Danio rerio: one gene and its partner. The protein of the gene in region 1 interacts with the protein of each later gene in a pairwise test. Links are inferred from orthologs where the notes say so. Each region holds a gene or a part of one and is shown on either strand. Other genes may lie near its edges.

Region 1 (5,901 bases):
ATCTATGGAGTCTCTCTGTGCTATGGCCCACACTCCCACTGCAAGAACACTGAAGTTCCCCAACACATAAGAAGCTGGGAGCCAGGAAAGTAAGCATGCCCTGTGTAAGCACATATTCAAACTGTTAAAAAAAACATTGTACTAACATAGCACTCTCCTTTAACTCAATTTGGTTTATTTTTTTGTAAAAAAATATTGTGTTTAAAAAGTACACCAATAAATGGCTTCTGTTTAAAACAAACAAACTTATTTATACATTTTCCTGTTGTCAAGATTAAAGTTCCAGAAATGCACAACTATGCAAAATTACCTGACCTCAGACCAATTGAGGTGACATTAAGAATGCAGTTTCTAAAACAAAACCCAAAATTTATAGGAACTGCGGGATGTAGTTTGTTTAATATACTGTATAATGGCTAAAATAAAAACAAAACCGAACTGTTTCTGTGTGCCTGAAGTTGGCTGACTCTTTTGATAATGATTATTTTTATCAATTTCCCAGTCAATGGGCTCTATGCACAGCTAGAGAGTTTAAGCCGACAATAAACGTCCGGTGAAAGTTCAAGGTGGCTATTTTCAATTTTACAAGGTTGATTTTACAGCACTGATGTTGTAATGTAATTACAATACATTCAGTTAACCACTTAAACTCTGCTGCTATTTGGGGATTTCCGCCTGGATTTTGCCTACCCAAATTTAAAAGCTTTTCAAATCCACATAAAGAGGTGTAAATGCAAAAATTTGGTATAATTTTAAAGAAAACCCTTTGAATTTTCATAAAACACTATTGAAAGTGTTTAAAATAACTGTATATGTTGTCTGTGTTATAATAAACACCTAAAAAAAAGAGGCGCTTTATGTTTTTTTTTTTTTAAATCTAATTTGAAAGTGTACCTTTTAGGTTCTGTGTGGTCTAGCGTGCTGTAATTAATTTTAGTGGTTCCTGCACATGTCTAAAAAAAGAAAAAAGTCTCTACCATAATCTATGCAAAAGTTATTGCATTCCAACTAATGAGAGGTGCTGTACAAGCCACAGGGACCGATCATTGTTTTCATATTTCACTATTCTTTTGTTTGATCAAATATAATTCACTGAGTTTGGACCACATCAGACATATAAAAGGATTACTTATGCACATCACCTCAAAAACAGAGGAGAATGGCCCTGAAGGGCACAGCATAAGGTAAGAGATGACAGCTGTCTGTGCTATCTGGGGCTGCTTATTGATCATAAATGTATTGTTTACATTTCTGCGCCATGGAAACACCACAATTCATTCAACAACTGTTTGGAATATGAATATAATTCAGTAAAAAGAATGCTAGAACTGAATGAGCACCGGCAAGAGATTTCAATTGAGCTATAACTTGTGACATGTGTCATATAAAAAAAAATATGAAAATGAACAATGTAAAATACCTAGCTGGGGTATCCAAAATACTGTGAATTTAAGTGTAAATAACTTTTATACAGTAGAATGAAAACCAAAGTGATGCATATGTTGATAAAATCTAGATTCTACACTTTCAAACCACACCACTTACGGGGGTCTGGTGCAATGCTAGCCCTTTAAATCTGAAAGCGAAAGTCGATAACATTCACAGACTTTAGCATTCATTTAGTTGTTTAGGTGTAAAACAAGATGAAAGACCGTTGTAACCACTAGGACTGTCAGTAGCAACAGGCTACGCAGACACTTAATTGAAAATACTGGGTAAAAATAAACTGTCATATTTTAAAGAAATGGCGGGAGGAAATGTAATTTAATGCAATTCTTCTTCTGTTATATCTAACAGGCAGTGAAGATTGCTGATTTTTAAAGAAATCAGATCTTAAATGTTACAATTTTGTAATGAAAAAACAGTTTTACTGGAAGCCCTTGGGCTGCCTGGCTGAAAATTAAAAGTCTGTGTGCAAATACCCTATATAGCCAATATATTTATATCCATAAATCCCTAAAATCTATATCCATTAAAATAAGAGATTGGCCACCTAATTTCTTTAGTAATAGAAAGCTAATACAACTAAATTCAAACATTAAAATAAAAAACCCAAATTCTAACTAAATTCTCTCTTTTTAATGTTTTAAATTTTTCCTGTTTATTAGAATTGTGTGCAATATTTTTCCCAACATAATAAATTGGCCTGTACATATTTATGGACTGTTATCTGTCATTTTTATTTAATTTTGTTAGATTAGTTTCAGTTTTAGCTAATCCAATCTACTGTATATGCTCAAATATATAACTGTATAGCATCCTACGGATTATATTAATTTCAAAGAGAGATCTGTGAGGGGCGTACTCATTTAAACAATGGCTATGGAACTAAATATTTCTTCAGTAATTTAAACTGATATGTAAAAATGTATTTAGAAGTAATTCAGTTTAAAGAAGAAAATATTAAATATTAACTATTTTTTGAACAGCTGAATTAATTTGATTGATTTGCCTCCTCGAAAAATGCACACAGTATTAATGAAATACTTTGACCTTTAACTGAAAGTGTAAAGCTTCCACTATATTTAAAATATGCAAATGGGGGATATTTGAAAATATGTGCACTTTAGTCACTTTTTCAATGTACTACTACTTAAGAAAAACAACTGTATGTTTAGGTGTTTAACAGATATTTAGAAAGCTTCAATTTGAAGAAGAAATATTTCTGATGAATAGAAAACTGGAAGATAAACATTCACCGAAGGTGAAATTCCTCAGGTTAGTGATGAAAAACAGCAAAAATGTGCCATAACTCTCACCAAACTGTCAGTATCCAGTGAACCAACAAAATGGCCTGCAGAGAGAACACATATAGTGCAGTTCATGAGTAAATGCACACATATAGTATATTATTTTCTAGAGACAGTGTGTTGCTGCACTTATAATGTGGGGTATTTATAAAACAGAAAATGTGTTATGGTCAGCATGCTTTGAACAAATTCTGCTTTAAATCAAAAGAAAGAGCAAGGATTTCCTTGTGTTTCCATTCAGAATGTTATTGTTTCCTCGCTGCACCCTCACAATAACAACAATCAACTTAATGTAAAAGCTTGCTTGCAGTTATAACAATAGCAGTTACTGATAAATTCTTTAAGAAAGTGATCTTTGAAGCCTCCCATTTGGTTTCATAAAATGTAGACTCATTTTTAAATGACAAAACCACAATGACACCACAATGACAAAACTTTTTATCTTTAAACTTTTAATGGATACTTTACCAATCAAATAATTATTTGATAATGAATAATATCAATGTACTCACTGTAATGCACAAATGATTGAAAATAAATTACCTTCAGATTTATGGCTGGTATCTCCATATTTTCACTGCCTGTTCAGAATTAAATGGTCCTATGTAGTTTTCAGTATTTCACTAAGGAAGCATGAAACACTTTCATCATAACTGTGTGTAGAAATTTGTGCTGTTCTGAAGTGACTGCAAACACAAACCATGTGACTTCAGCCTGACAAGTGTCATGTGACTACACCTCCCACCTCTGCTCATTACTCCTTCAGAGCATATAAGCACAACTAGAAAACCTGAAACAGAGTGTTATTTTAACATTAGATTTTTTTTCCTACAACAACATACAGCTAAGCGATAAATTTACATTTTTTAGGCCTAATGATACTGGAATAAAATTATAAAAACCCCATAGGTCGGCTAGTGTTAAGTAATTTTAAAATGGTAACAGTACAATTGTTTTTATTATAGATATCAAATTTATGATTTGTTTATCACAGAAAGATATTTCCAGGAAAGTTTTTTTACTCAGAAGACAAATAAAAAACTTAAAACCAGCTAAGAGATCTTTTGTATTTGAATATATTAAGACTGCACAGCTACCTTTGGATGTTTAAGAAAACAAGTTTCTTGCTATGGTATGAACTTGCCAGCTAATATGAGATTGCAATTAACCTATTTTAGTTTTAATTAATCTTCACACATTACCTTATTATAGCTATTCTTTCACTTCCACTGTTTTCTTCCTTTTATCTGTTTTCTGCTACAGAAGGATTCTTCAGCTACATCAGTCAGTTATACTCTAGCTGTGTGTGCATCTTTTTAGCATAATATTGACAATTTTTATTCATTGACAGAATATTAACAAAATACAGTAATAAAGTAGTGGGGCCCGAAGCAGGGACATACATGAATATTTATTTTGTCAATTTCCATTCCAGAAAATTTTATTGTGTTTACAAAAGCATTTATGGACCACAAGTTGTTTTTCAACAAGGTAATTGATTTTCAGCATCAAACAATGTTTGATGAAATTGTTTCATGTGTCAAAATTAATCCACGATAAAATTCATTCATTTTCTTGTAGGTTTAGTCCCTTTATTGATCTGGGTCGCCACAGCGGAATGAACCGCCAACTTATCCAGCAAGTTTTTACACAGCGGATGCCCTTTCAGCCGCAACCCATCCCTGGGAAACATCCACACACACATTCACACACACACTACGGACAATTTAGCCTACCCAATTCGCCTGTACCGCATGTTTTTGGACTGTGGGGGAAACCAGAGCACCCGGAGGAAACCCACGCGAACGCAGGGAGAACATGCAAACTCCACACAGAAACGGCAACTGAGCCGAGGCTCGAACCAGCGACCCAGCGACCTTCTTGCTATGAGGCGGCAACACTACCTACTGCGCCACTGCTTCGCCCACGATAACATTCAATAACTAATTTGCCAGAGGGATCTTAGGCCCTGTTGACACCTGGTATTAAGCTGTGTTTTCGCCAAACAATTTACCATTCACACCTGGGGCCTCATGTATCAACGCGGCGTACGCACAAAAACTTTCCGTACGCCAGATTTCACACTCACGTTTGGATTTACTAACAATGAAATTAACGTGAGAATGTGCGTTGGTCCACTCTCACTTCATGTTGGGCGTATGTGTATTTCTTGTGTGTGTTTGTTTTATTTTAACTGGCGACTCCTAGGGGCAATCATGTTAATTCGCACACTACAAAGTATCTTTGAGCCGTGCAATGCCAGCTATATAGGACGGGATCACCCACATGTCTAGCAGGTTTCCATACCATGCAGTTGACCAGCCAAACAATAAAGCGCAATTTGCAGTGATCGCCGTTTTTTCCAATGTAATCAGAGCGATCGACTGCATGCACATTGCTATAAAGGAGCCATCTGAAGACGAATTTGCATTCGTGAATCGGAAACTTTTTCATTCAATAAATGTGCAAATAATATGTGATGCTCAAATGCGCTCAACAAATATTGTAGCAAGGTGGCCTAGGTCAACCCATGATTAATTCATTCCCACAAACAGCATGATTGGGATGAGGCTACAAGATGGCAGGCACTCGTTCAGTTGTAGAGCAGGCAATTGGGCAACTGAAATGCCGGTGACGTTGCCTGATAAGAGCTGAGGTGTTCCCCTAATATACATCTTTGTCTCCCACAAACATGGAAACTACTCCAGACAGTAAAGTGTTTCCCACAATTGAGGCAATTCTCTCCTCAAAGGGTGTTAGTTCAGCATTTCCTGTTCCCCCGCCTGTTTGGTCCACACTTTGATGGTGCGCCACTGTTCTCCTCTTAATCTGCACTTTTACATCGAACCATTTCTTTTTATTTCACTAACATTGAATTCACTTACAGAATCGCAGAGAGACGCCACGTTTTTGTTGGCAAAACAAGTGGAAGAACAAGAATTGTTTGGAGACATGGGTCATCAGTGTTAGGTTTATAAATGTGCTTCAACAAAGGTTTTGTTTTAATCTCCCGCTATGAGTACGCAGCTGGGGTCTGTTCTTCGTAGTTGGATTATTCAGTTAGCTGGATTTGTATATTGACGATATGACATGATCCAGGATTGTTTAGTTCTTCAAAATTCATTTTAGATTTGTTGTCATAGCAACAGTT
Region 2 (5,162 bases), on another chromosome or scaffold:
CTGCATTCAGCAAACGCATATAAGGATTATGTGGCATGTTGAAGTATTACCTGTCTTTAATCTGCGTCAGGGATAGTGGATCCCGCCACATAGAAATGTTAGGGATGACTTAAGGCAATTAGGCAAACAGAAAATGTAAGTATAATGGAACTCTTCATCAAACACTTATGAAAAAATGTGAAGTTCTAATAACAGTGAAGATTAATTTAAATAAACTCTCACCTCTTACTGGCGCAGGTCTGTTCAAGTCAGTAGTGCGACAGATGGAGGTGTGTCCACTGACCTTGTGTCCATCAATGGGGAAAGCGGTGCTAAAAGATTTGATTGAAAACAGTGTTAACTTGCACCAGCTAAGCTGTGGTGATTTAAAAACATATATAATTTATGTGCTTACATGGAAGGCTTTATCCGTCCAAACGGCAATGGTTTGCTCTTTGAATATTTTTCAGATGCCATCTCCACTAGCTTCCTATAATGCTCTCGATCACTCTCTCTCAATGCCTAATCAAAAGAAAGATGCTCAGGAAGCCATGTATTTAAAAAAAGGTACTAAGTTACAACATTACAACTCAGTTTGCTAACCTCCTCCACGGTCAGGCAAGGTTTGGGTGTGCGGCTTGGGAGCTCCATCTCAGCCTGTCTTGAATTTAGCCCATTGGTGGTGCATGACGGCACAAGCTTCAAGGATCTGCGCATCTCTCTGCTTCTGTCCTGATTTGTTTTGTACAGCATTGTTCCACTGTACAAGGAGAAACATGCAGAGACTTACAGAATATCTAGAAGACCATTTTAGAGTCAAACATCATTCTCGATCGCAAAGCATAAGCACCTATTCTCAAGTCTTATTTTGATACTACTGTTTGCATATGATGGGTAAGATTCATCATCATTTTAATAGGATGGACTGCTCACAATTGAAAGATGTTATGTCATTAAATGTTTAAAAACAATTATGGCAAGCAATCAGTTTTAGTTTAAAAATATATATAAATGAATGAAAGTCAATGGAAATTGCAACTGTTCTAAATATCTTCTTGTGTGTTGCACAAAGTTTGCCACATTAGAAACGGTTTTCTGCCTGTTTATTTACACAACAACTGTTTTTGCAACTGCATAATCTGACAGCAGTTTTCAAAGTGGAAGTTTTTGAAAAGAATCGCTGATAGTGTGTCTAAATAAACAAGAGTTTTGGAGAATGATGGCATCATGTGCGTGCAGATGTGAAGGCAAGCGCAAATAAACACAATGGCGGAGTACATATTAGTGTTGTTGTTGCTTAATTGTTTGCTAATTCTTTATCAGCAAATGTTGGATTTATTTCACATTACAAATAACACCCGAGACGTATCTTACACTCACAGAAAATTCTACATTTACATCATCTGACATACATAATGCACCTATTTCGGCTATTTTCACAATTTTCACAACATTTTGAAAATGTATTGTCTAAACGTGAACCTTTTCAAATTTGGCCACATCCCTGTTGTGTAAACACAGCCTAGTTAATCAAGCAAAGATGATACAGTTAGTAATTTGTGAAAAGTAATCTTAAATTTGTTGCATAAAAAAAAAACAAAAAAACAAATAACTATATTTCTGTACAACAAAGAACATGGGAATATTGCTCATGTTTAAACTTGGCATTAAGATGTGGAGACAAGGGTAAAAAAAATCCAATTTACACCTATTGTTTAAGTCTTATACATCCACTTTACTCTGTCTTTGAGAAGATAGTCTTTTGACAGAATGGACTGGATGCATTTTTTACTGATCTAATGCTGCAAAGTAAGCTTGTGCAATTTCCATATGAACATGAAAGAAGGCAATGGAAAAATAATAGAGATCAAGAGCTTTCATTTCAGTTCTGAACTCCATCAAATGCTCTGGGTTTATGTCAGGACAGTTAAAAAAAACTGCGTTTTCTGACATTTTTTTCCATCAAATAAACTTATTTCAAACAAAAAAAAACCCTGTCTGCCTAGCTTCTTTTAACCACATTTACATATATAGCATTGCCCACTTGTGCTTTTAAACCTAGTGCAAATACCTGTGAGGATTTTGGGGGGTGGGAAATTGTGACCTTTTTGAAAGGTTCCTTTTTATCATGTAATCAGCAATATGGTGAATAAAAGAATGCATTATTATAAAAATACATATTGAGAGGACAAAGAAACCGCTTAAATTTGTGAAACACCTTAAAATTTGGACCAAATAATACTCACTCAGGTTTGCGTAAAGCCTGTGGATTGGTTTGCATATTGGCTGCTGTTCTTTCTTTATTTTTAAGTCCCATTTCCATTTGTTTATCTGTAGAGAGATCCATTAAAAATCATTTTTTAGACTTTAAAGGAAACGTCGAAAGCACACCATTTGCTATGGAAGCATATGAGTAGCATAATTCAATTCAAAATGTAATATGCAAAATGGCAATGCAATATGTTAAATGGCAATGTATTTCTGTATTTGAATTTGCATTTTCCAAGACATATGAGCAATGTTTGGTGCAGAATGAAAATGTAAATTAAATTACATTGTTTGCATTTCTCATTTCAAACACTGTTTTAATATGTCAATTGTATCCACATTTTAAAGCTTTATAAGTAGCAAAATTAAATTGAAAATGCTATACACAAACTTAATTGGATGTGAATAAAGTACAAGCAGAAACTGTAGCAAAATGATAATTTAAATGTTATTTGTCCTAAATACATTTACGCTCGCGTCTAGGAAACGCAGGATTACATTTTCAGCATAACAGCATGGGATGTGTGTAGCAAAATTAATTTTGAAATGTAAAATGCAAAACGATAATGCAATATGTAAAAGGCAGTGTATTTCTGTATTTCAGTTAGCATTTTCCAAGACATATGTGCAATGTTTGCTGCAGAATGAAAATGAAAAATAAAAAAACATAATGCATTTTCATTTAACACATCGCGACGAATGAAAGCCAATTTGAAATTGAAAATGCATTCTGGCCTGGCCACGCCCAAAGACGGCCACCGTTGCTGCAAGGCGGGTTTTAGGTTATGTCGTCACAGCTGCCGCGAGGACTATTAAGGACATTTGGCAGCATAAACATGGCGAAGTCTGTTCCTCAGCGGCTTCGTGAAGCTGCACGAGCCCTCGAGCGTGAACTGTGAAATACTTTAGAAAAGCAATCACCTCCTAGCTCCGTAAAGTTGGCCTTAGGTTTGATATTTGCGCACGCAGTTTTAGGGATCATCTGCGATTTACATCAACAGAACCAAAACGCACAGTAACGCAAAGCAGAAAAAAATTGAGGAGATTCCAATAAATGGTTAGAGGCCAGACTGATTTAATACAGGTAGCAAAGCTACTATACCTCTAACTATATGGTACATACAATGCAGAAATAGGCAATAGCTCTTGTCATAAGCATACAGTACACATCAGCTAAAGCCCCTTTAGGTTCTGTCGATGTAATTTGCAGATGATCCCTAAAACTGCGTGCGCGAATATCAAACCTTAAGCCAAGTTTACTGAGCTAGGAGGTGATTGGTTTTCTAAACTATTTCCCAGTTCAAGCTCGAGGGCTCGTGCAGCTTCACGAAGCTGCTGAGGAACAGACTTCGCCATGTTTATGCTGCCAAATGTCCCTAATAGTCCTCGCGGCAGCTGTGACGACATAACCTAAAACCCGCCTTGCAGCAACGGTGGCCGTCTGTGGGCGTGGCCAGGCCAGAATGCATTTTCAATTTCAAATTGGCTTTCATTCGTCGCGATGTGTTAAATGAAAATGCATTATGTTTTTTTTCATTTTCATTTTCATTCTGCAGCAAACATTGCACATATGTCTTGGAAAATGCTAATTGAAATGCAGAAATACACTGCCTTTTACATACTGCATTATCGTTTTGCGTATTACATTTCAAAATTAATTTTGCTACACACATCCCATGCTGTTATGCTGAAAATGTAATCCTGCGTTTCCTAGACGCGAGCGTAAATGCATTTAGGACAAATAACATTTAAATTATCATTTTGCTACAGTTTCTGCTTGTACTTTATTCACATCAAATTAAGTTTGTGTATAGCATTTTCAATTTAATTTTGCTACTTATAAAGCTTTAAAATGTGGATACAATTTACATATTAAAACAGTGTTTGAAATGAGAAATGCAAACAATGTAATTTAATTTACATTTTCATTCTGCACCAAACATTGCTCATATGTCTTGGAAAATGCAAATTCAAATACAGAAATACATTGCCATTTAACATATTGCATTGCCATTTTGCATATTACATTTTTAATTGAATTATGCTACTCGTATGCTTCCATAATTTGCAACTTAAAATTACTTTCTATTTAAACTGGAACTCCTGTAAAGGCAAAGCTGAACTTTTAAATGATCCCCAAGAGGCCTTTCTAATATGCTGATCTGAACATTTCTTATTTTAAATCTTTATATATATATATATATAAAAAAAAACAGCAATACTGCTTAGTATTACTATGGAAGATGCAAAGGCTTTCTGTATGACTCACTGAAAGAAATGAAAATAGGACTGATCCTGAACTTTTGAACAGTAGTTTGTGTCTGTCAAATTCTTAGCCAGATCACTCACACTTACACACTCACAAAAAAAAAAAAAAAAAAAGTAAAATGAGTTCACATTTACCCATGCCGTCACTTTCAATCCATGAACTCAGGCTGTTGCTGTATATGTCATCAATACCCATAAATGTAACCCTGCCAACCTGAGCAAGCAAAACAAGAAACAAGACCATGTGAACAGTGAATAAAACCAAGGGTGTGCAAAGATGGCATTCGAGTGAGGATTTTATGATGATTGTACCTGCGTGAAGGCATTCTGCTTTTCATGTTCAGCTTTTCTATGGACTCTCGAACGGAACAGGCCAGCAATTCCAGCAAAAGTTTTCTTGACCACCCTGACAATCACATCTGTAGAGAGAAAGAGACAGAAAATGACTGAGAAAAATCCAGTGAAGGAGCAATAGGCACTTTCACATTTTGTAGTTACATAAACTCCGCCATTAAACTAGCCATCAGGCCTGGTTCATTAGAACTAATTTCCACCCTGATCGTTTTTTTATGGTAGTATTCAGTCAGAAGGAACTGGCTAGTGGCATATGCTTGCCAACATCGGTGTCATGTGCTGATTCAACAAAA

Evidence for each region. The genes of interacting proteins can lie anywhere in the genome.
Region 2: the proteins of agtrap (region 1) and senp2 interact in binary tests that used the Homo sapiens proteins (3 or more experiments, as listed by UniProt). The two-hybrid records come from large-scale screens. The link is inferred for Danio rerio from reciprocal best matches to the Homo sapiens genes AGTRAP and SENP2.

The regions. Positions count from the first base shown.
Region 1 is NC_133186.1:18,166,811-18,172,711, reverse strand, and holds the start of agtrap (type-1 angiotensin II receptor-associated protein), read right to left. Parts: upstream 3,454-5,901; 5' UTR 3,321-3,453; coding exon 3,294-3,320; intron 2,795-3,293; coding exon 2,760-2,794; intron 101-2,759; coding exon 1-100. UniProt on the Homo sapiens protein: Appears to be a negative regulator of type-1 angiotensin II receptor-mediated signaling by regulating receptor internalization as well as mechanism of receptor desensitization such as phosphorylation.
Region 2 is NC_133181.1:12,362,524-12,367,685, reverse strand, and holds part of senp2 (sentrin-specific protease 2), read right to left. Parts: intron 4,935-5,162; coding exon 4,828-4,934; intron 4,730-4,827; coding exon 4,651-4,729; intron 2,311-4,650; coding exon 2,226-2,310; intron 740-2,225; coding exon 583-739; intron 502-582; coding exon 395-501; intron 312-394; coding exon 223-311; intron 109-222; coding exon 51-108; intron 1-50. UniProt on the Homo sapiens protein: Protease that catalyzes two essential functions in the SUMO pathway.